Linked DNA regions of Rhinolophus ferrumequinum. The protein of the gene in region 1 interacts with the protein of each later gene in a biochemical or structural test. Links are inferred from orthologs where the notes say so. Each region holds a gene or a part of one and is shown on either strand. Other genes may lie near its edges.

Region 1 (11,091 bases):
GTCCGACAGCCCTGGCTTTAAATCCTCACTCTAGCTGAGGCAATACAGTGACAGGAAAGAACTCTTACTTTCTTTTATGGTTGGGGGAATACAAGGTGGTGGGACCTGTGTTTGGGGCAGCTTGTCTCTTAAGCAGATGAAATCCCTCAAAGCCTTTGTCATTTGCCCTGACAGGTGGTGACAGCCGACCACATCCAACTCATTGTGCCCCTTGTGCTGGAGCAGAACCTGTGGTCATGTATCCCTGGCGAGGACACCATCATGAATGTCCCTGGCTTCTTCCTGGTTCGTCGTGAGAACCCAGAGTATTTTCCTCGTGGTAGTAGTTACTGGGACCGCTGTGTAGTAGGGGGCTACCTCTCCCCAAAGACAGTGGCAGACACGTTTGAGAAGGTAGTGGCTGGCTCCATCAATTGGCCGGCCATAGGGTCCCTCTTGGACTATGTGATCCGACCGGCGCCACTCCCAGAGGCCCTGACTCTAGAAGTGCAGTATGAGCGTGACAGACACCTCGTCATTGACTTCCTGCCATCAGTGACGCTCGGTGACACTGTCTTGGTGGCCAGACCACACCGGCTAGCCCAGTATGACAACCTGTGGCGGCTGAGCCTGCGTCCTGCCGAGACGGCCCGCCTGCGGGCCTTGGACCAGGCCGACTCAGGCTGCCGTTCTCTTTGCCTCAAGATCCTCAAGGCCATATGCAAGTCCACTCCGGCTCTGGGCCACCTCACTGCCAGCCAGCTCACCAACGTCATCCTCCACTTGGCCCAGGAGGAGGCTGACTGGTCTTCAGATATGCTGGCTGACCGCTTCCTGCAGGCCTTGAGGGGACTCATCCGGTACCTGGAGGCCGGAGTCCTGCCCAGTGCCCTCAACCCCAAGGTGAACTTATTTGCAGAGCTCACCCCTGAGGAAATCGACGAGTTAGGGTACACTCTCTATTGCTCGTTGTCTGAGCCGGAGGTGCTGCTGCAGACGTAGGGCAGGTGATGGCCAGAGTTGGGGTTGGGCGGTCAGGCCCTGGCTTCTGCGTTAGAAACACTTGGCTACGTAGTTGGTGCCTCGCTGGGTCGCTCGGTGCCTCCTATCTTGCTGGTCACCGCCCTGGTCACTTCATGCTGATTAGAATGACATCTCTTAATCTCCTATTTTCTGAAACCCAACCCTTTCTATTTTTGTTACCAAACACTGTGCTCCTTACTCCTCCCCTGCCCCTGCTCCAGGCTGACTTTTCTGGAATGAATTGAAAGGTGGAGCAGTAGCCTGAGCTGTCGAGACCACTTGGTGTTTTGCAGGCGGCCCATGGTTCTGCTCATGTCTGCCCTGCCTTGCCTTTTGGCCTGTTCCTCTCGGTGTCTTCTCTGTCTTTCCCTCTTGTTCACGCCTTCTGTTTTGCTCCTTTCTCTGGAGCACACCTGCCTAATCAAGATGTTGCCTTTTAGTTGAAATGTCACTGAAGTTGTGATTGCCTGTGTCCAGGCTGAACTCGGCACAGAGCACTCAGACAGTATTTAGGGTTTCTGGGGCGAAAGTGGAAGAGCTGGCCTTTGCCCCAGGTTCCTGGAAAAGAAGCCCATCCCCCCATCACCTGACCAAGTGCTCAGAAGGCCTTCCATGGGAACACTGGTATTGACCCACACAGGACTGAGGGCTCACGCTGAACTGGGTGCAACGTGATGGAGAGATTGTGTTTCTTAGCGGCCATCAGTGAGAGTGCCGAGTGCCGGGTGGGGGAAGCGGACGTGGCCATGGGGACCTGGGAGAGTGTCAGTGTGCCTGAGCTCTACGCCCCATCCGTGGCTGGTCCAGGCCAACGCCACGGGGTGCAGGAGTCACGAGGGAGGGAAGGGCCTGCAAGGGCAGCACCTCTGCACAAGCGTTCTCGTTCACCCGCTTCCTTGCCTGACTGCCAGTTAAGACGAGGCCTTCAAGGACACACCCTTGCGGTCCAGGTTAAAGGGAGGCTGACAGGCGGCTGAATGTGGCCTGGAAAATCCAGTCACCAGTTGTGGCTCAGTGACCATGTTTCTCCCCTGTCAGGCCCTGTCTTTCTAGAATGTGCCCTTAGAGCAAGAACAGGCCCAGCAGTCTGCCATAGGAGTGGGAGAGGGCTGTTGGCTGAACTCTCTGGGCACCTCCAGAGGTCAAGGGCAAGCAAACATGTGCAGGACCCTCCCCCCACCCCATCACCCAGCAGCTGGGGAGACCGGTGCTACCCAGGAAGCAAGCACGTGGAGAAAACATGAGAGGGCGGTGGGGACTTCCTCCGTTCCTTCTTGTTTCCTGCTGCTAAAATTGCACTATTTATTGCAATGTAAAAAGTATCCTGAAGGTGGGGAGGAGTGTTTAATACACAATGCCAGTGCATCTTCTCGTTTTGTGGTGGTTTTTTTTTGTTTGTGGCAAGAGCCTGATGATAATTCTGTTTCCGATCTGCCCATCCAGTATTTTATTCTCCTCCCATCAAGTCTTATTTTTTCTATTCTTACTACCTCTCCATCAGTGAGATTCTGGTGAAGCTCTGCAGCTATCTCATTCCTTCCCAATGACAGCGACATGAAATAACTCTTTAAATAGCACTGAAACCTCAGCTACTGTCTAGGAATTTAGGGTAGAGATGCCTGTCCCCTTTTGTCATGGCTTAGGAAGCTGAGAACTAGGGTCAACCTTGGCTATATTAGGAGAGTCTTCCTGCCTCTTCTGTGTATGCAAGGATTTCTTAAAGTGCTTCAGTTGTTTCACTTGTAGGAAGGTATTGAGAGAATGAAAAATACAAAGCCCAGAACCCTGAGAAAGATTCTCCACCCTGGCTGTTCATCAGAATCAAACTAGAATTTTAAAAAAATCTATATGACTGAGTGCTGCCCTGGGTGAGTGGTGTAGAGGGTACGGACGGGGTGGAGCCTGGCATGACATCAGTAGAGGGGAGGGACGGGCAGGCTGAGAAGGTGTTGGAAAAGCATGGGTTATTCTTCACTGACAGGAAGGGTTGGTTTTCCTAGTGTATTATAAAACCTACAATTTTCCCAAGCTGGTGTCTCCAACCAAATTCCATATAAAACATTGGAGACCTCAAAAAGGAAAAGACTTTTTAAAGAGCAAGTCCCAAATTCTCAAAGCTAAGTGTAATCGTGATTTGAGTTTATCTCCTCTTAAAGAACATCTTTCTAAGGGCATCTCTGTCTCTTAACTATGTCTCACAAAACCAAAAACCATAACTTTGCCATGTCACAAGCAAGAACCTTTTAGAAGTCTGCAGAACTAGAAGCAGTGGGAATTCCTGGCCCTGGTCCTGGTGGTTTTGCTGACCGACGGGGCAGGCCTGATTGGAAAATACGGAAAACAGTCAAGTGCTTTGAGATTCTTGGATGGAAGAGGGCAACATTCTGCCCACCTCCACCCCCCGCCCTGCCCCCGTCTTTGGGGAAAGATGTCGTGCCTTTCCCCGCCATTCTGCCTTTCTACTCAGTAACTCGCACCTTTCTGGAAGTAATAGCATCTGGTCCTACTTTTCCATCTGGACATTTTTTTTTGCACCATCTAGGTTAGCAAACCACTTAGCTAATGCTTAAAAAATACACTCATCATCTTGAAAAACTAATCAGTTCCAAAGTGTATTTTGGTTCTCCCTGTTGCCTCTTCCTAAAAATTGAGTTCAGGACAACAGTATTTTTGTATACTTGGTTGTGACTTTTCTTTTTTCTTCCCCCAAATAAAATAATTGAAGCTCATGTTTGGAAAAGCTGTGTTGAGGCCATAGTCTTTCCCCTGGGTCTCGGCCCCTAGTAGTCCACTGGTTCACCCTCCCGATTAGCTGAGTTTGCTCCCTTGTACCCCACTCAGGCTGAGAGCGGAAATGGTTTTGATGAGGAATCACTTTCAGGATCAAAAGGCCCCCAGAGAGGTCCCGAGGCGTTTCTGTAAGTAGGGGTTCCTGCATGTGTCCAGAGTCCTCTGCCCTGGTACATCTTCCTTGAGATGATGACCCTGGCTGAGAATGTCTGCTCTCACAGGATTTGTTAGCACTCTCGCCTTCCTGCTAAAGCTCAAGGCCAAAAAGAATGGTAAGAGACACTTAGGACAAGAGCTGTGAGGCTGTATCCCTGTTAGACACTGCTGATTCTAAGTGGCCAAAATACCAGAGACGTGGGTTCTGGGGTTAACTGCGTACAGTGTGGTGTTGACCTTTTCATTTTGATTACCTTTTGGGCTTTAAATTCCTAGTCCCTGAGGCCAAGTCCACAACTTGCCCTCTAGTCACTTACCTTTTAGTCTTTAAATTCCTAGTCCCTGAGGCCAAGTCCACAACTTGCCCTCTAGTCACTTGCTTGCCATTCAGTAGCAGTTGATATGTTTGGCTGGTAGGTTTGGAATCAGTCAGCAGGCTTTCTGTCCTATCTTGGTTAGCTCCATAGAAGCAGCTTAGCCCTGAGACCCAGAGAACTGCTGTCCTTTTTCTATTGAGGGAGGAAATGAAGCTGGGGAACCTGATGTCCTTCCACAGCATGGGAAGAAGAAAATAAAAGCCTCCTTTCCAACAGCTTTGACTTTTGTGTGTGGTATGAAACGTTTTCCTACAGGAGTGGTACAGGTTCTTCATTTCAGCTAGAACTTTTGAAGTGCTTGATCTAGGTGTCCATAATAGAATGGATGGGACGAGCTGCCATAAGAGTCATTCTTCCATGACCTCTGGAGCATCAAAACTGGGGCAGTGTTACTTCTTTAATTCTCAACTACTTGCCTGGTCATCCCTCAGGAGGCAGTGACGTACAGTAGAAGGAGGCCATGCCCCGTGGGTCCTTAGTTATGCCTTTGGAGGACTTATGCAGTGGCTTAGGACTTCTTACTGCCTTTGCGCTGAAAGACTGGACAAGTTCTGTGTATCCTGACACTTGGCGATTCTCCAACGGGAAAGAAAAATCACACTTGTCCCAGCATCCAGTATGCTTTGCATGTACCAGTTGTTTAGTTATGGTTTCTTCTCAGTAAATAATAGGTGTCCTCTGAGGATGCAGGACGATGTAATGGCGATGGGGAGGGAGTATCGGGAGGGCGGGGTCAGAAGTCCCGAGTTCTAATAGTAATTGTATACTGAGCACTTAAATCAAGTACCAGGCACTTTGCTCAGTGCTTTACACATACATGATTTGACTTCATTCTAAGGATAAGGATACTACCCATCAGCCTCATCTTCCAGATGAGGAAACAGGCTCAGTGAGGATAAGTCACTTAACCAAAATGTCTCAGCTAATAAATGGAAGAGCCAGGACTCTTGGGTTTGCCCCTAAAATCTATCTTCTGACTCCTACCCCATGCTGCCTTCACTGGGAGCTCTGGCAAGACACCTCCTCCCCATTTGTCCTCAGTTTGCCATTGTAAAGAAATTGCTAAGCTAGATGAAAGAAGTCAATGAATGGTGTGTAGTTGTCTAGGACAATGCTCACCAAATGTTTTGACATCACAGCCCTCACAGAAATGTATTTGTATGGCCACTGAAATGAATGGAGGCAGAAACTCAAGGTTTCTCTCCCTACGGTGCCTGACTGGAGGGGACTGGAAGAGGGCAGAGAGAGCACTCTAACATCTCCCCAGCAGAGAGCAAGTTGCTGGCCCCCTTACACGGACTGCCGCTTCCAAACACAGGAACCCCGAGTGGGCGTGGGTTCTCTTCATCACAGGGTCATTCGGAGGACTTGCTGGGAAGTGGCCATGCCTGGGAGTTACAGAATTGGAAGTTTGTTGAAACGACCCTCGAGTGAGAGATCCCAGTTGAATAAAATCTCTACCTGTTCTTAGAGAAACTGAACTTCATAAACCAAAAGACGTTCCCCTGTGATATGACTGCATACTTTTAATAAACTAGCAAACATTTAGGAGAATGGATATGTAAAAATGTAACAGGTTGGCCTACAGGATTAAGCATCTTCCCGGCCCTACAGAGTTCAGAGTAACGATGCAGAGCGAGCCTTTTCTGATAGGCGGGCATGGATCAGATGATCTTTCCCTTGAGGTCCTCAGACTTCCCCTTCAGCCACTGAAGGGCTTGCATATGATGAAATCGCACACAAAATGACATTTCCTTTTGCCTGGTTTCATCCTCCGGACTCAACCTGGTCAGTAGTTCGGGGCTTCACTGAGGGCGGCAAGAAGCTGGGGCCTGACACCCCCATGGCACTGGGTTAGAACCCGTCATGGCCAGCTACCAGCCAGGCTGCCGAAGCCACTGCAGACAGAGGAGCATCACGGAGAAGAGGGGGCAGACAGACAGGAGACCACGGGAGGGATACGCATCAAGCCGAACCCACCTCTTCCCGCGCGGACCCTGGGCAATCTCACCGAACAGCCCACCCTCCTCAGCGCCTGAGCCAATAAAAACACGAGAAACATATGACTCACCATACCTGACCAATCAGCTCGAGCGCCCTCTGCGCCGGCATCTCGCGCGATAACCAGGCGGGCTCCGACTTCACAATAAAAACCTTCCTTGGGATGAAAGGCTTCTCTCCCCGCCCCTCAGCCAACACCGGAAGGCAGGCGTGTCTGGTGGATCCCTCCGCGCTCCCCCGCCGCAGAGGGAACAGTGACTCTTTGATCTTAGAAGCTGTGTAAAGTAGTGCGTCTTTCCTTTTTTGAGACCTTGAAAATAACCCACTTTCTCTTCAGAGCTGCACCCTGGGCGCAAAAGTTGTTGGTTGGAAACGGTAGGGCGTCGGATAGATGAAAAGAAGTGGGTGGGTGGTGCCGGTGACGTGACCACGGCGGAAGAATTTGCTGTGTGAGGCGTCCTCGTAGAGGCAAAAATCTATAAAGGACCCGCGGCCGGGGCGCGGCGGCCATTTCTCCTCCCGCCTACAGATGTCCACTTAGCTCCCGGTCTGTGCTGCTTCCCTCCTCTGCTCCCGCGGACCCGCGGCCACCATGGCGCATTAGAGGCAGCCGTGCCTGCGGCAGCATTGGCCTTTGCAGCGGCGGCAGCAGCACCAGGCTCTGCAGCGGCATCCCCCAGCGGCTTAAGCCATGGCGTAAGTACCGGGCCGAGCGCGCTGGCCGTGCGCCCATGGTGGAGCGAGGGGCCGGCCTGCTTGGGCGCGGCCGGGCCGCGTCGCGGAGGGGGAAGCGGTTTTATGAGCGCCCGCGACGCGTGGCTTTTGTTTGGGTGTCTCCGAGACGCCAGCACGCCTGAGTCAGGAAAGCGCGGCCCGGCGCGGGGGGGAAGAGGCGCGCGGCGGCCTCGGAAGCCGCCAGGGTTCCGCCTGGTGCCCAGCGAAACGTGGCAGGGGCCAAGATGGCGGCGGGGCAGGGCGGCGGCCGGGCCGTGTGAGTCACGGCGGGCGGGGCAGGGCGGCTGCAGCCGTATTTGGACGTAAGGATGCGGCGCCTTCCTCTTGTGGCTGAGGAACGGCCGAGCTGCAAGGGCGTCCATCTTGTGTCGCCTGACCGGGGAACGGGCAAGGTCGACATTAATGGCTCTGGGGCCACGTGTTGCCGATCCCGGACAACCAAGGAGAATTCCGGTTTGGCCATCCTGCCTCAGGAGTGAAAAGATGAAATTCTCAGACCGGCTGTTCGCTAATAGGACTTGGTTTCCTATTCAGGTTTTTCACGGCACCCAGCAGCAGCGTTGCTGTAACGGACAAAGACATCCTCGAATTACACACATTCCTCGATTCCAGCAAAACCCCGCAGCATGACCGAGATGAGTTTCCTGAGCAGCGAGGTGTTCGTGGGGGGCTTCGTGTCCCCCTTCGACCAGTCGGGTTTGGGGGCTGAAGAAAGTCTAGGTCTATTAGACGACTACCTGGAGGTGGCCAAGCACTTCAAACCTCGTGGATTCTCCAGTGACAAGGCTAAGGCGGGCTCCTCCGAATGGCTGGCTGTAGATGGCTTGGTCAGTGCCTCAGACAACGGCAAGGGTGAGTGGGTGTCCTTTGCCTGGGGGGGTCTGGGCAGCGGGGCTTGCTGCCTTGTGCATTTGGCTGAATGTTTCATCCCTCTTACATCTCTCGCAGAGGATGCCTTCTCCGGGACAGATTGGATGGTGGAGAAAATGGATCTGAAGGAGTTTGACTTTGATGCCCTATTGAGTTTTGATGACCTGGAAACCATGCACGATGAGCTTTTGGCCACGTTGGATGACACGTGTGATCTTTTTGACCCCCTAGTCCAGGAGACTAATAAGGAGCCCCCCCAAATAACAAACCCAATTGGCCATCTTTCAGAAAGCTTACCAGAAACTGACCAGGTTGCCCCATTCACCTTCCTGCAACCTCTTCCTCTTTCACCAGGGGCCCTGTCCTCCACTCCAGATCATTCCTTTAGTTTAGAGCTAGGCAGTGAAGTCGATATCTCTGAAGGAGATAGAAAGTCAGACTCCACTGTTTACATTTCCGTGATCCCTCAGTGCATAAAGGAGGAGGATGCCACCTCAGACAATGATAGTGGCGTTTGTATGAGCCCTGAGTCCTATCTGGGCTCTCCCCAGCATAGCCCCACTACCTCCAGGGCCTCTCCAAATAAGAGCCTGCTGTCTCCAGGTGCCAGCTGTGGTGGCTCTGCCCGCCCCAAACCCTATGACCCACCTGGAGAGAAGACAGTGGCAGCAAAAGTAAAGAGTGAGAAGCTGGATAAGAAACTGAAAAAAATGGAGCAGAACAAGACAGCAGCCACTAGGTACCGCCAGAAGAAGAGAGCAGAGCAGGAGGCCCTCACTGGCGAGTGTAAAGAGCTAGAAAAGAAGAATGAGGCTCTGAAGGAGAGGGCAGATTCCTTGGCCAAGGAGATCCAGTATCTGAAAGATTTGATAGAGGAGGTCCGCAAGGCAAGGGGAAAGAAAAGGGTCCCCTAGTTAGGGTAGTCTGTGCTTGTACATAGGAAGCTTGCCTGAAGCTGTGTGTTGTAATAAATTATTTTGTAGTGAAAGTACTTGGCAAACTGCTGTCTGGTGTCTTGCCTTGTAAATAATCTGGTCAATCCTCCTGGAACTAGATTCTTGACCCACGGTGGAGGGCGGGATTTCAATGTGCTGAATATTTGAGCCCAGGATGAAATGTTTCATACCCTGTTGTGCCATAGGTTAGGGTCACTGGTCTTACATTGGACCTTGAGCCAGAGGGGTTGGGCCAGATCCCCCACAGCTGAGCAGGTACCTGGGTGTTTTTTCCAGAACAGAATTGCTAGATCTTACAATAGCTCTTTGGTGACTGCAAGGTAGGGAAGTTTCACTTGAGGGGAACTGGTGTGGCAGGAACAGCCTGGGCTCCACCTGTTAGCTTTGTGCCAACATCTGTCATTAAATACCCAGATAAGGTCCCGCAGTCCTTGAGCTTAGCGTACAAGTGATTGGATTTCACTTAAAAGCTTTTACTGTTCTGTAGAGGCCACTTCCCAAACCCATTAAGACAAAAACTGTTGGTTTTTGTTAGAACAAACCATAAGCTGGGGGAGACGCCTGCAGTTTGCTTAGTTCCTGGCAGAGCTGGGCCCAAGGGCTGGCAGATAGCCAGGCTCCCCTGCCCACCTCAGCCAGCTGGACTTTCCATCCCTAGGCGTTGGGAAGCTGCTTGTTGCAACCCGAGGTCTTCCACGTGACGATGACTTCCTCCAGTCTCAGGATAAGGCAGATATTTCCTGTCTTGGGTTCATCCTGGGCAGGTCGCCTCTTGGGTCCTTTGGGACCAGCTCTTTGGAAGGGCTAGTCTTGTTTCCCATCTCTAAAAGGCAACCTAGATTCCCACAGAGTGGCTGGATAGAGGGTGACATTTGTGCCTCGCACGTTGTAAGCACTTCATGTGCATTCTCACCCAGTCCCCACGACCCCTGTGAAGCAGGTTCCATAATCCCATCGGGTCCTACAGGAACGGTACACGGAGAAAGGTATTGAGCAGAGTGGTGAAAGCACTGTTGGATCCCAGGGATGGCCCACATTTCCCTGAGCTGCTCCCCAACGTCTAGCATAGAGTGACACGAGTCAGCTCACTGTTGGAAAAATACAGCCAGTGGTGACTCGCTGGGAACATTGCCCCAGGCACAAGAGGGAGTGGTTGTCACACATGGGCCCCATTGCGTCTGGTGATCTTTGAGGTTTTTTCTTCCCCAAGTGTAGAATTACAGAGCGCAGGGAAGCCACCCATCTAAGGTATTAAAACACCCTGATCACCCCACCTAAGCAGCTTAACTGCTACCAGTGAAATGCACGAGGATTTACTAGTTTAAAAAAGTGTCAGTTTGGCTACATGCATTGATACTATGAAAACAAAGTTCTATGCTAAATACATTTTATAAAGCTCATCCCCATTTTATAAATGAGGAAAACAGTTTTGGAGAATTGCCCAGCTAGCAGGTAGTGGATTCAGTCCCAGGCAGTCTGAGTCCAGGATGCACACTTTCAATCAATGTAGCTTCAGAACTTCCAGGCAGGTTTGGAGGGGGCCCTGGACACTGGCCTTAAAGCTGGGGGTTCAGAGAAAGCAAGCGTGGGAGCTAACGTGTTACAGATCACTACAAATGGGGACGCTTTCTCAAGATACCAATTCTCCACAAATAATTACGGCTAATATTTGCTGAGTGCTGAGGACCAGCTCTGAGTTTTCCAATTATTAGCTTATAATCCTCATTAGGAGCTGGGAGGAGGATCCTACGATTCTACCCTTTTAACTGAAGCCGGGGGCTGGACGCTGGCCCAGGGGCAGCTGGTACAGGTAATGACAGTGGTCTGGACAGACAGGCCATGCTTAGCATGTGGGGTGTTTGTGGTTCGGTGCCAAGCCCTCTGCTGTCTGAGCCCAGAGGCTGGTGGCGTTTCGTGCCTGTTTCGTCCCTGGAACAAGGCTGCAGGTCCTAGAGCTCAGGAATGGCCTTCATGTTTCTCTACAGCTATTCATGAGCACCCACTGTGTGCCAGACACTGTTTTGGGTGCTAGGGATTCAGTGGCTGAGGAAAACATAAAACCTCTGCCCTCATTCTGGCAAGAGAGGCAGGCAATAAAAAAGACGTCTGATGTGGGATGACTGGGAACGGGCATGCGGGGTGCTGGGCGTAAGAATTTGCTCCTAAAGGTGGGCATTTAGGGAGGCCCTCCTGGGAGGCAAAGC
Region 2 (11,641 bases), on another chromosome or scaffold:
ACTAAGCCCTAAGAACTAATTTCCTGCTTATAGGAAACATGGAGCTAGTGGAAATGGTAAAATGGCACCACAAGAGAGCAAACAGACAAATCTAGAATAAGGGACATTCAACAGGACAACTGACCTCGCTTCTTCAGAAAATCAAATGGCATTGGGGAAAAGGGGCAGAGAGATGCTGTCCTAGATTAAAAGAGATTTAAGAGACGTAAGAACCCAATGAAATGTATAGAATCATATAGATCCCAATTCAATCAAGCCATCTGTAGATAGAAATTTTTGAGACAATTGAAATGATACCAAGAAATCCATAATCATTTTATTAGTAGCAATCCTGACATTGTGGTCATAGGAAAAAATGCCCTTATAGGTAAAATTGTACACACTGACCTGTGTAGGGATAAAATGACATGATGTCTAGGATTTTTACTTTAAAATAATTCATCAATAGAAGGCAAGGGATGAAGCAAGTATGGCAAATCTTGATAAAATTCTTAAATCTGGATGAAGAATATATAGGGCTTCAGTAGACTCTTTCTTCTACTTTTATGTGTGCGTGTAAATTTTCAATTTTTAAAAAACGAAAATTAAAAGGGCTGAGGTTTCTGAAGGAGGGAGGAAGAGAAAATGCTTTGAAATTGGCAATGGGAAGCAAGAGCAGCTCTGCCAGTTTCTGGTTCTGGGGTGGCTGCCGTGAGAGATGAGACAACTTTCACAGGCGACGTGGACTCCTCCTTCCTCTCAGAACATGAAAAGTTCTGCTCCTACCTTCCCATATCTCTAACACCCAAACTTCTACACCCGCTGTCCCTTCCCCTATCAAAGCAGCAATTCTCAACTTCAGTGGCAGCCACTGTGGGGCTTGATTAGTTAAGGCATACTAGTAAATTGTTACTATTTCAGTTGGTTACAAATGTTGGTCATTTAAAAGTAAAATAAACCAGATTCCAGATAAGTACACACTAGTGTAGCTCTCATTCACTTGCACTCAAAAATGCTTTCCTTAGAAGAGGACAAAGGAACGGAAATACAACTAGCACACTGGGAATTGAGCATAATCCTTGCAAATATGTACGGCTTGCAAACATAATCCTGTAGTATCCTAGACACTGTCAACCTCTTGAGTCTTCAATTTTCATCCAGTCACAAGATCCTCTCATGATTTTACTTCCTACTCTTTACAGATTATATTTCATGAGTGAAGAGGCAAACTATATTAAAATGAGCACTCTGTCCTCAATAGCACTCTTATTCTTCTGCTGTATCCATTCAACACAGCACCAACCCCAATTCAGCTTCATTCTCTACCATTTCTGCTCCAATTCTCTGCTATAAAAAAATCCAATAAATGTAGGAGGTCTGACAATTAAGTTTGTGAACTTGTTACAACAATGTTGCTAACCTTTTTTGATATCAGAGGGATTATTCTTTATGAATTTGTACCAACTAGACAGTTAACCAAGTTTACTATTTGGAAGTGCTGAAAGGCTGCATGAAAAAGTTAGATGACCTGAACTTTTCACCAACAACTCATGACTCTTGCATCACGAAAATGCACCAGCTCATGCGACACTGTCTATGAGGGAGTTTTTAGCCAGTAAACAAATCACTGTATTGGAACACCCTCCCTACTCACCAGATCTGGCCCCCAATGATTTCTTTCTTTACCCAAAGATAAAGGGAATATTGAAAGGAAGACATTTGGAAGACATTCAGGACATCAAGGGTAATACAATGACAGCTCTGATGGCCATTCCAGAACAAGAGTTCCAAAATTGCTTTGAAGGGTGGACTAGGCGCTGGCATCAATGCATAGCTTCCCAAGGGGAGTACTTCTAGGAGACCATAGTGATATTCAGCAATGAGGTATGTAGCACTTTTTCTAGGATGGGTTCGTGAACTTCATTGTCAGACCCCGTATGTGTTGGTGCTATAGTTGGTGCATAAAGTCATGGTCTTTGTGGAGAATTTGATACATTGGTACTCATCATCTATTTTAATCCCTCTTTTAATGTGCTTTTAATGTGCTTTACTGTATTGCAGAAATGGAAAAGCTAAAACAAAGAAACACAAAGCAAACTATATTTGCAGACTCCTCTGTAGTTATATTTGGAAGATGCAAATGAGGCAGGGAGGGGCCCTTTTTCTTTGCTTTGGCTGTTGTTGCTGCCAAGGACATTTTTGGAGACATTGGGCTTTTCCGCAACAACATCCCAATGTTCATTCACTAGTTTTATGGGATATGATAACCAGCCCCCAGGATAGTGCCTAATGATTCCTTTTTTTTTCTTTTTAAAATTAGTTTCAGGGGTCTAAAACAACATACTGTCATAGTATTCACATTCTTATGTAGTACCCTTCCACAGTGAATAAGATCTGACTCGTGTGAGCAATAGAATACTTACAGAAGTGATCATATGTGACTTCTGAGGCTAGGTCATAAAAGACGTTGCTACTACTTCCTTGGTCTCTTGGATCATTCACTCTGGGGGAAGCCAACCACTACATAGCACAGACACTCATATAGCCAGTGGAGAGGCCCATATGGAGGGGAAACTAGGCTTCCCTGAGGACCAGCCTGTCAGCCACCTTGGAAGTGGACTCTCTAGCCCAAGTCAAGCCCTCAGATGACTGCAGCCCCAGACAATATCTGACTAAATCCCATGAGAATTCTGGAGCCAGACTGCATAGCCAAGGTTTTTACAAATTTCCGTCCACAGAAACTGTGAGCGATAATAAATGTTTATTGTTGTTTTAAGCCACATATAAGCAAATATTTATTGTTGTTCTATGATTGTTTTTAGGTTTGGGGTAACTTGTTAGGCAGCAATAGATAATTAATACATGGGGTTGAGAATTTAGGCGGCAGCAGTACTCTTGAAGCCAACATTCCCACTTTCTACTTCTCACTTTCTCAACTGGGGCAGAGACAACTGTTCCTAAACAGGCCTGTTTGGCCACACTGTACTGAGACGCATTCTTGATCGCCCAGCCTAATGTTCACTCCTCCGGTCCTTCCAATGACTGTGTGAGCCCGCATTCTGTTACATCTCTCTCTGTTTAAAATAGCTGGATTGGTATCTGTTTCCTGCAATTTGAGCTTAATCTAATAAAAATACCCATCTCAAATCAATAGCTAGACATTAGAGGCATTCCTGTAAAAGTAAGGAATAAACAAGGAAGTTGGCTATCAAGAGGATTATTTAACATTAATCTGGAAATGCTATTTCATTATCGTATTGCAAAGGAGGTAACATTTTCATTATATATAATAAGGTGATATAATTGTGTACCTGGAAAATTTGAATGAATAAGCTGAAAATGAAAATTATTAAGAAAGGTCAGTGGGGTAGTCAGTTAAAAATTTAACAAAAAAATCAGTAGTTTTCCTATGTAGCAACAATAACCATTTAGAAAACATAAAAGAAGAAATAATCCAGTCCAATAGCAAAAAATACATACATAACTGGGAAAAATCAATTAATAAATGTAATGTGATTTCCATGAAAATTCCAGGTTGTTTTCTTTGAACTTGGAAAATATTATGACATTATCCAGAAGAAGAAATATTCGTGTATAGATAGACAATTCTGAGATAGTAAGACTAACAAAGGACTTGTCTTATGAGATATTAAATATATTATAAAACTACAATAAAAATGGAGTGATTTTACTTCCAGAATGGTGAGACTGTCAAATGAAATAAAAGAAAAAGACCAGAAATAGATCCAATTACATGTAAGAATTTGATATATGGCACACATGTTGGGAAATAAGTGGGGCAAGTGTGAATTGTTCAATAAATTTTATTGTGGCAGATCACTTTTTGAAAAATTATATTCCTGTTACATTTTGTACCAGAATGAATTCCATTTGAATCTAAATGAAATAAACTATGTCTCGTGTTGTTAAAAAAACTCTTAGTAATATAAACATAAGTAATTAAAGAAGTTCTAAAACACATAGGTAAATATTAGTATTATTTAGGCTAATAAAGCCTTTTTTGGCTTAACATCACAGCTAGAAACCATGAAGAAAATTTTAATAGATTATTTTAAAATGATAGCAAAACAAGCAATTTCACCCCTTCCCTCCCCTGGTATTTGATCACCTGGGGGAAAATTGGAACACATGTAAGAGACAAAGGTATATTTTCTTTATAATGTAAAGAATTCTTATAAATCAAGAAGGAAAAAGACAAACATTTTCCCTGACAAACATTTTCTCCCATCTCTAAGAAAAAATGAGCTAAGGATGTGAAAAGGCTGTTCACATTAGAAATCAATTGGTCATATGAAAAACATTCAACTCTCTAATAATCAGAGAAATGGAAATTCACACAAAAAGATGCCACGTTTTATTTTTGGAGTGGCACATTTTAAAAAGAACACGTCCACTGTCGTTGAGTGTGTAAGAATTAAATACTGTCATACACCATTGGTGAGAAATATCTTTCCATAGGTAATAAAGGTCTATTTATAAAAATTGTATTTATAGAAATTCTACTTCAAAGAGTTTATCCTAAGGGTTATAGGATAAGTGAACCAAGATGATTGTACAACATTATCATGTGGTTTATAACAGTGAAAATTTCAATATAACCTAAGTGCTATCAATGAGGAACTAATTGAATAAAATTTGCCCAGTTCATGAAATGGAATTCTAGACAGTCATAAAAAATAAGCATGTGGAGGGGAAGATCCATCTACATTTTTACACATTTTTGATTTTTTTGCAATGATCCTTATAACTAGAAAAAGAAAAACAAAACAGTTGTGAAGAAGGAGAGAGTGAGAAAAATAAGGAAAAGAAAAGGGAGGAATGATGAAGGGGAGACAATTTTCTGGGAGTTTTACTCTTGTTTCATTTGCTTTTTATCTTCTGAGGCTAGATTGTAAAAACTTCCTTCTCTTGCAGTTTTCCACTTTTCTCTTAGTCCAACTGGAGAGGCTCTCAAGCCATGTATATTTAAACCAAACTGTTGTAATTTGGAAAAAATAAAACAAATCAAACCCTGATTTCGAATTTGCCTAAAGAGAAAATGTAGTTGGATGGGCAGTCCAGAGCATATATCACCTAGAACTGTTCTGTGTTCTACTTTAGCAAAACCTTTTCTAGTAGGAAGGTTAAAAGGACATGGAGGCCCTTTATTTATTCTTCTAGATACCATAGGTCATACTTATTTTGCCCCCTGCAGAATTATTTTCATTAGTTGAATTGTAGCATTATGCTTTCAGCCAAAACTGGGGAACTTCTTCATTCATTTATTCAACAAATATTTATTGAAGCATAAGCTGTGCTTTGTACTGTTCTAATATTTGGGACCAATCAGCATGCAGCTTTCTTTGAACCTGCTTTGTATCTCTCTAAGGAACAGCCATACAAAAGTAGTTATTGTTGAAGCTATAGGCTACTTTATTGAGTATCCTACTGAGAAGTTTCTTTAAGACCTAAGAACTGGAAAGTGGTTAAGGGATTAATATGCTGCTTATGATATGTACTTATGAGCAAACAAAGTTTGTTTCCTTTTTTTATTTGGGCTAACAGGAAGCTTAGTCTATTGTTAGCTCAATTTGAGTAACTGTATAAAATATCATGTTCATGCTATTCCAATACTAACCTTTCTCTTTGGGAACTCCTTATCTTTCTATTTCATCTATATTTTCATTGGCCTTACTTTTTTAAAATTTGAATTGTTTTGTTTCTAATGTATTTGTGAATGGCTTCAAATCTCAAATACCTTGTGAGATTAAGATAAACAACATCATGAGGAAACAGACAAATCTAGAATGTGGTGCATTTTTCAAAACAACCAAACTGGTATCTTCAAAAAGCCAATACTAAGAAAAAGTAGAAAGTGGAAGGGACTAATGTACTTTGAGAAATGGTGTGAAAATCCACAATAACAACAACCAAATGCAGTTAAGTGACCCTTGACTGGACCCTGGCTCAAAATAAAACATTCTCTATAAAAGATTATTCTGAGGAAAGCTGAGGAAATTTGAATAGGGCCTGAGTAATAGATATTAGCAAATAATTGTTCATTTTCGCAAGACCTGATAATAGTAGTATGATTGTGAAAGAGAATGTCTTTATTTTTAGAGATATATACTGAAGTATGTTGGGGTGGTATGTTTTGTCTGCAACTTCGGGATAATTCAGCAAAATTAGTAATTATTTTACATTTATATGCAGGTAAAGCAAATGGCAAAATGTTAATTGTTGAATTGTTGACTCTCAGTATTGGGGTAGTATTGTTAAATTTGAGTGGCTATTGTACTATCCTTTCACATATTCTGTGTATTGGGAAGTTTTTATAAGAAAATCTTGGAAAAATTAAATTATATATGAATGATTTACTTATTTACCTCTATTTCTTCTAGTACTCTAGAAGTACTGAAATGAAAAGATTTTGTATTATGACGGGAAGGGAAAGGAGCAATTTCAAGAGGGAGCTCTGATCACCAGTCTTAAATTCCAGAGGAATCCAGGATGATGAAGATTATTCACAAATTTGGTATCTAAAAGATCAATTCTGAGCGAGAGCGGTTTCACTGGAAGTGGAAGCCAGAATAGAGTTGAGAAGTGAGGGCAAAGAGGGCAGACCACTTTTTTAAGAAACCCGTGGTTTTGTTGTTATTTTTGCCGCTGTTACTATGACATCACTGGAGAGCTGGAATTACTCCCACTCCAGCATTCCCTGAACTCTCGCGATACTAGAGCCTGGTGGAGCGCGAAAGGCCGTGGGAGGGGCTGGGGCGAGACCGACCGACTTCCGGCCAGGCCGTTGTCTGGGTGGCGCGGTCGAGTCATCGCCGGGCCTCGCGGCCTCGATCTCCCATCCTTCCCCCGCGCCTGTGCGCGGGGGGTCGACCAGCCGAGAGGGGCAGGAGGCAACCCGGACCTTCCTCGTCATTTCGTTCTGGCCGGCTCACGGGCTACCCGCGCTGGGTCCTGGGGTCCTTGGGGCCCGCGAGGCCCGGTCTAAGAGGCCGGGGCCTACGTGGGCCCGCCGCTGGGCCCCATGAGGCACAGCCTGACCAAACTGCTGGCGGCCTCGGGCAGCGACTCCCCAACACGGAGCGAGAGCCCGGCGCAAGCCGCCACCTGCTCGCTGCCCCCGGACTTGTCCCGGGCGGCAGCGACGGCAGAGGAGGAAGAGACGGCGGTAGCCAGATCTCCCGGCCGTGAGCAGCTGCGCGGCGACGAGGGCGAGTTGGAGGACGGTAGGGGGGGCCGCGGCGGCGTGGTCGTGCGCGCGCCCTCGCCGGAGGAGATGGAGGAGGAGGCGATCGCCAGCGTCCCCGGGGAAGAGACGGAGGACATGGACTTTCTGTCCGGGCTGGAACTGGCGGATCTGCTGGACCCCCGGCAACCGGACTGGCACCTGGAACCCGGGCTCAGCTCGCCCGGGCCTCTCTCCTCGTCCGGCGGAGGTTCGGATAGCGGCGGCCTTTGGAGAGGGGACGACGACGACGAGTCCGCGGCTGCGGAGATGCAGCGCTTTTCTGACCTGCTGCAGAGGCTATTAAACGGTATCGGAGGCTGCAGCAGCGGCAGTGACAGTGGTAGCGGCGAAAAGAGGCGGAGGAAGTCCCCAGGAGGAGGCGGCGGCAGCAGCGGCAACGACAACAACCAGGCGGCGACAAAGAGTCCCCGGAAGGCGGCGGCGGCCGCTGCGCGTCTTAATCGGCTGAAGAAGAAGGAGTACGTGATGGGGCTGGAGAGTCGCGTCCGGGGCCTGGCAGCCGAGAACCAGGAGCTGCGGGCCGAGAATCGGGAGCTGGGCAAGCGCGTGCAAGCACTGCAGGAGGAGAGTCGCTACCTACGCGCCGTCTTAGCCAACGAGACCGGACTGGCTCGCTTGCTGAGCCGGCTGAGCGGCGTGGGACTGCGGCTGACCACCTCGCTCTTCAGAGACTCGCCCGCCGGGGACCACGACTACGCTCTGCCGGTGGGAAAGCAGCAGCAGGACCTGCTGGAAGAGGACGACGCGGCGGGAGGAGTGTGTCTTCATGTGGACAAGGATAAGGTGTCGGTGGAGTTCTGCTCGGCGTGCGCCCGGAAGGCGTCGTCTTCTCTTAAAATGTAGGGTCAAGTAATCTGCTCTTTATCCGCGTTTACCCCTTTCAACTCCCTTACACCATGTAAAACACCTTAGTGGGACATCTTCACTGGACACATTTCAGAGGAGGAAAAAAGTAATATTGAATCTTTAAGTGTTTAGCTAAAAGCATGAATGTGACACTGTAACCAACTCCTAATGATAACATGTGACTATTAAATCTCTCTGACAGTTTCTTTTTTAGGTGATTTCCTTCCTGCCAGGCTCCGTTGTAGGGGTTACAGAACAGTCGTTCCCGCCTCACAACCTGGTAAGGATCCATCTCTTCACGTAACGCTCATGCTCTGCTGCTTAGTCTACTTTAATGGGCAACATCTCAATTTGTGTGTGTGTGGAGATATTTTTTTGTTTTCTTTTTTGGAAGGCGGGAGGGGAATCTGATTTGGGCCCTGTCCACCCTGGAAACAGACTTGTGCTGGTCAAATAATGTATTTAAGATGCTTCTTCTGGTTGAAATAGCTGTTAATGTGTCCCCTTGTTCAGACTTGCGTGTACCTAGCTCTTCTGTCCCCAGTGTGGACATGGCCTTGGATGACATCGATTCCAACTGTACACTGAAAGCTGCTAATAGAAATACAGTTTGGAGACAGTGAAACAGGTGAAGTTGAATGGAAGTTCCGAGTTGTACCAGGTGCAAATTGGAATTCCAATTTTAGAGCAACTTTTCAGAGGTTGACAATAAGTGTTTGGGGCATGCACCAATGTGATAGTTATTTTGCTGGAGATGACAGAAATCTCCTAAATATTCAAGAATGCCTTTTAGTTTTCAGTAGATCTAGAAATACAATATTCAGATTAACAGATATCTCATCATTAGAAAAAATTTGGAAATTAACATGCATATCAGACTCCTGTATTAGTTAATAGGAGGAGGAATCAGAATGGTTAATGAAATGTTTCTTTGAGAACCAGCACAGTGATTACCCTATCACTGAGTATGAATAAATTGTTGAACACCTTTATTTTTGTTGTATTAAAATTTTAGGTTAACTTTATGTAAGATTTTGAAGGTTGTGAAATATGAATGAAAACATGTAAAGTGAGGCTTCACAAAGAATCTTATTTCAAATATATTTGTCCTATTTAAAATTATTTAAAAATAATTTTACAAATTGAGTTGTTCTGGCTACTAATGACACGATTGACACTTTTCCCAAAGATGGGACATATTCTTTTGCAGTATTCTGTTATCTATTGTCCAGTTGTATAAATAGAGTTACGGTGTCCTTCAGTGTAAGAGACAATAAGAAATTCTTTGTGAAACATCACTGTTTGATAAAGTATATACGTATTTAGCATCCTTGTTTTTCTTTGTGCTAAAGTGGATACAGCTGTTGGGGCAGAAGAGACGGGACCAGCTGCTGGCCACATTTCCTGCTTTATTTTAAAAGGTAGTATAAGAAATGAGGAAAAAGAGGTAATATCAGGGCTTCTGCTGTCTTTTATTTTAAAATGTTCATAATTAAAAAGTATTTTCCAGCAGTCCAAAGATGTAAGTTATCTTACACATAAAATGTTTTATTTTGTTGTTATTTGGTTATGAAAATGGAATCCTTGTTCTTGCACAACTGTAAATGTTTTGTTGCTAGATAATACGATTTGAGATCTAACTTGGTCTCTGGTTTCCAGTGCATCACAGCATATTTTGTAAAATCTTCTATTGCACTTGAGCATGAATGGGTAGTAGCCAAACTCACAACCTGGAGTGATGAACCTGCTTATACCTAAGTGCAGGAGCAAGCCCCTCACAATGCAGCTGCATGGAGTTTTAGTGCCTACTGAATTATATATATAAACCAAAAGTAGTTGGAAAAATTATTTGAAATGACTAATTTGTGCTATCTTTATGGAATATGTTAAATGTAGCTTTTTGAAACAGAAGCCTTGAATTGAAATTTAATTAATACTTGAACATTTTGTATATATTTCTTTGTATATAATTTTGTGCAGTACCAATGACAAAAATACGGTGTCATAATAAAACCAGGTTTGTTGATCTTTCAGTTATGGGCTCAAAGAATTTATTCATCTCTATCATGACATTGGAAAATAATGGATGAAAATAGGAAAAATAATTGTTGTTAATGCTGACTGTGGGTCTTAAAAGGTTCTGGAAGCAGTAAGTGCGTTTTTCTAAAAATTATACTGTTCCTTGGCATATTTTCTTCCTAATGGCAATGCTTTTCCTGCATTATTTGAAGTTTGGGGCTGGGGAGAAACAGTAGTCAAAGCTTTCTGAATTGGGCTGCTTTGAAATTCCAAGTGTAGATTTTTAGAATGTCATTTTATAAATGGCAGTTTTTGGAAATACTTGATTAAGAACTTTTGAAAATGGAGATTAGTATCACCTATTTTAAAGCTGCTTTGTTAGGTTCCTTATGTTTTAACTGTCTCTTCTTAGTTTCCATTTCATTTTCTTTTTTTTTCCTAATTTTGGTGACTCAGTGATTTTGTCATTTTTTTACATCAACTTCATGGTCTTGTTTTTACATGGTATTGCATGTATTTAGGACCTATCTAACAGGGGCTTTAAATAAATTTGGTCACATTTATGTGTAAGCACATTTTACTGTAAATGTTTGAGTTTCTGAATTTACAATAGATCTGTTTATTTCAGTATGTAGTAGAATATCTTAAAAGTGTCCTATTCACTACTTGTTAATTAAAAAAGTTATGATTAATATGAAACTGTTGTCTTACTATTTTTAAAAAATTGTGTTCTGGTGGATAGTTGCATAAAGGAGATTTCTGGAATATAATATGGAGTGTTTTGAAATTTACGGTTTGGCTTTATTTACTGTAATGGAAAAAAACAATTTAGTATTTGGGGAACCTTTTTTTCCCCTAATTTAGCCACTATGGCAAAATGTTACAGAACTAAAGATTATAGCTTTTTAATGTCTTCTGATGGTGACAGCAATTCATACATTAATTGAACTAACACATCATATTGACCTACTATTTCTATCATATTGACTTAACTGTTTCTGCACTTCCTTGACCAGACTTAACGAAAATGTCCACGTTTGTTAAAATATAGTCACACATTTGTCCTATAAGCCGACAAAAAGTGTTCAAAATATTTTAAATATTTGTGCATTTTATAATCACTAAATTAATCTCTCTCTCTTCTCTTTAAACAGCTTAGCAGTGTCTGCAAAAACGAATCTTTTCCTACAACCTGTTAACTGACTGGACTGATGGTAACAAAGTAATTGTGGGAGCCATGTCGGTCAAAAATTTGGCATCTGCTGAAAAAAATGAATGCCATTTTCAAGTTCCCAAATTACTTCTATACTGGTTTCACTTTCCAGATTTCACTTTCCAGAAATGGAGATATGAAAAGATTCTCTGGAATCCTTGAAAGACTTAATAGAAACACATGAGACTAAGTTAATTTTGGAACAAAATTATACTTTTTTTTTTTTTGTCTTTCATGGGAGTGATACTCAGTTCTTTGCATACTTTTTAAAAAATTGTAACCCTTGGAGAAGAGAATTATAGTATTTCATCAAGGAG

Evidence for each region.
Region 2: the proteins of ATF4 (region 1) and CREBZF form a complex in vitro, tested with the Homo sapiens proteins (2 studies listed by IntAct, with this or other methods). The link is inferred for Rhinolophus ferrumequinum from reciprocal best matches to the Homo sapiens genes ATF4 and CREBZF.

What each region holds. Positions count from the first base shown.
Region 1 is NC_046293.1:7,977,815-7,988,905, reverse strand, and holds ATF4 (cyclic AMP-dependent transcription factor ATF-4), read left to right. Parts: upstream 1-6,829; 5' UTR 6,830-7,022; intron 7,023-7,595; 5' UTR 7,596-7,687; coding exon 7,688-7,913; intron 7,914-8,009; coding exon 8,010-8,845; 3' UTR 8,846-8,922; downstream 8,923-11,091. Other genes in the region: MIEF1 (mitochondrial dynamics protein MID51), read left to right, coding at 175-981. UniProt on the Homo sapiens protein: Transcription factor that binds the cAMP response element (CRE) (consensus: 5'-GTGACGT[AC][AG]-3') and displays two biological functions, as regulator of metabolic and redox processes under normal cellular conditions, and as master transcription factor during integrated stress response (ISR).
Region 2 is NC_046294.1:58,630,286-58,641,926, reverse strand, and holds the start of CREBZF (CREB/ATF bZIP transcription factor), read left to right. Parts: upstream 1-6,748; 5' UTR 6,749-7,021; coding exon 7,022-8,085; coding exon of another isoform or gene 8,086-8,089; exon of another isoform or gene 8,090-8,294; coding exon 8,295-8,310; 3' UTR 8,311-8,372; intron 8,373-9,444; 3' UTR 9,445-9,513; exon of another isoform or gene 9,514-10,125; intron 10,126-10,126; 3' UTR 10,127-11,641.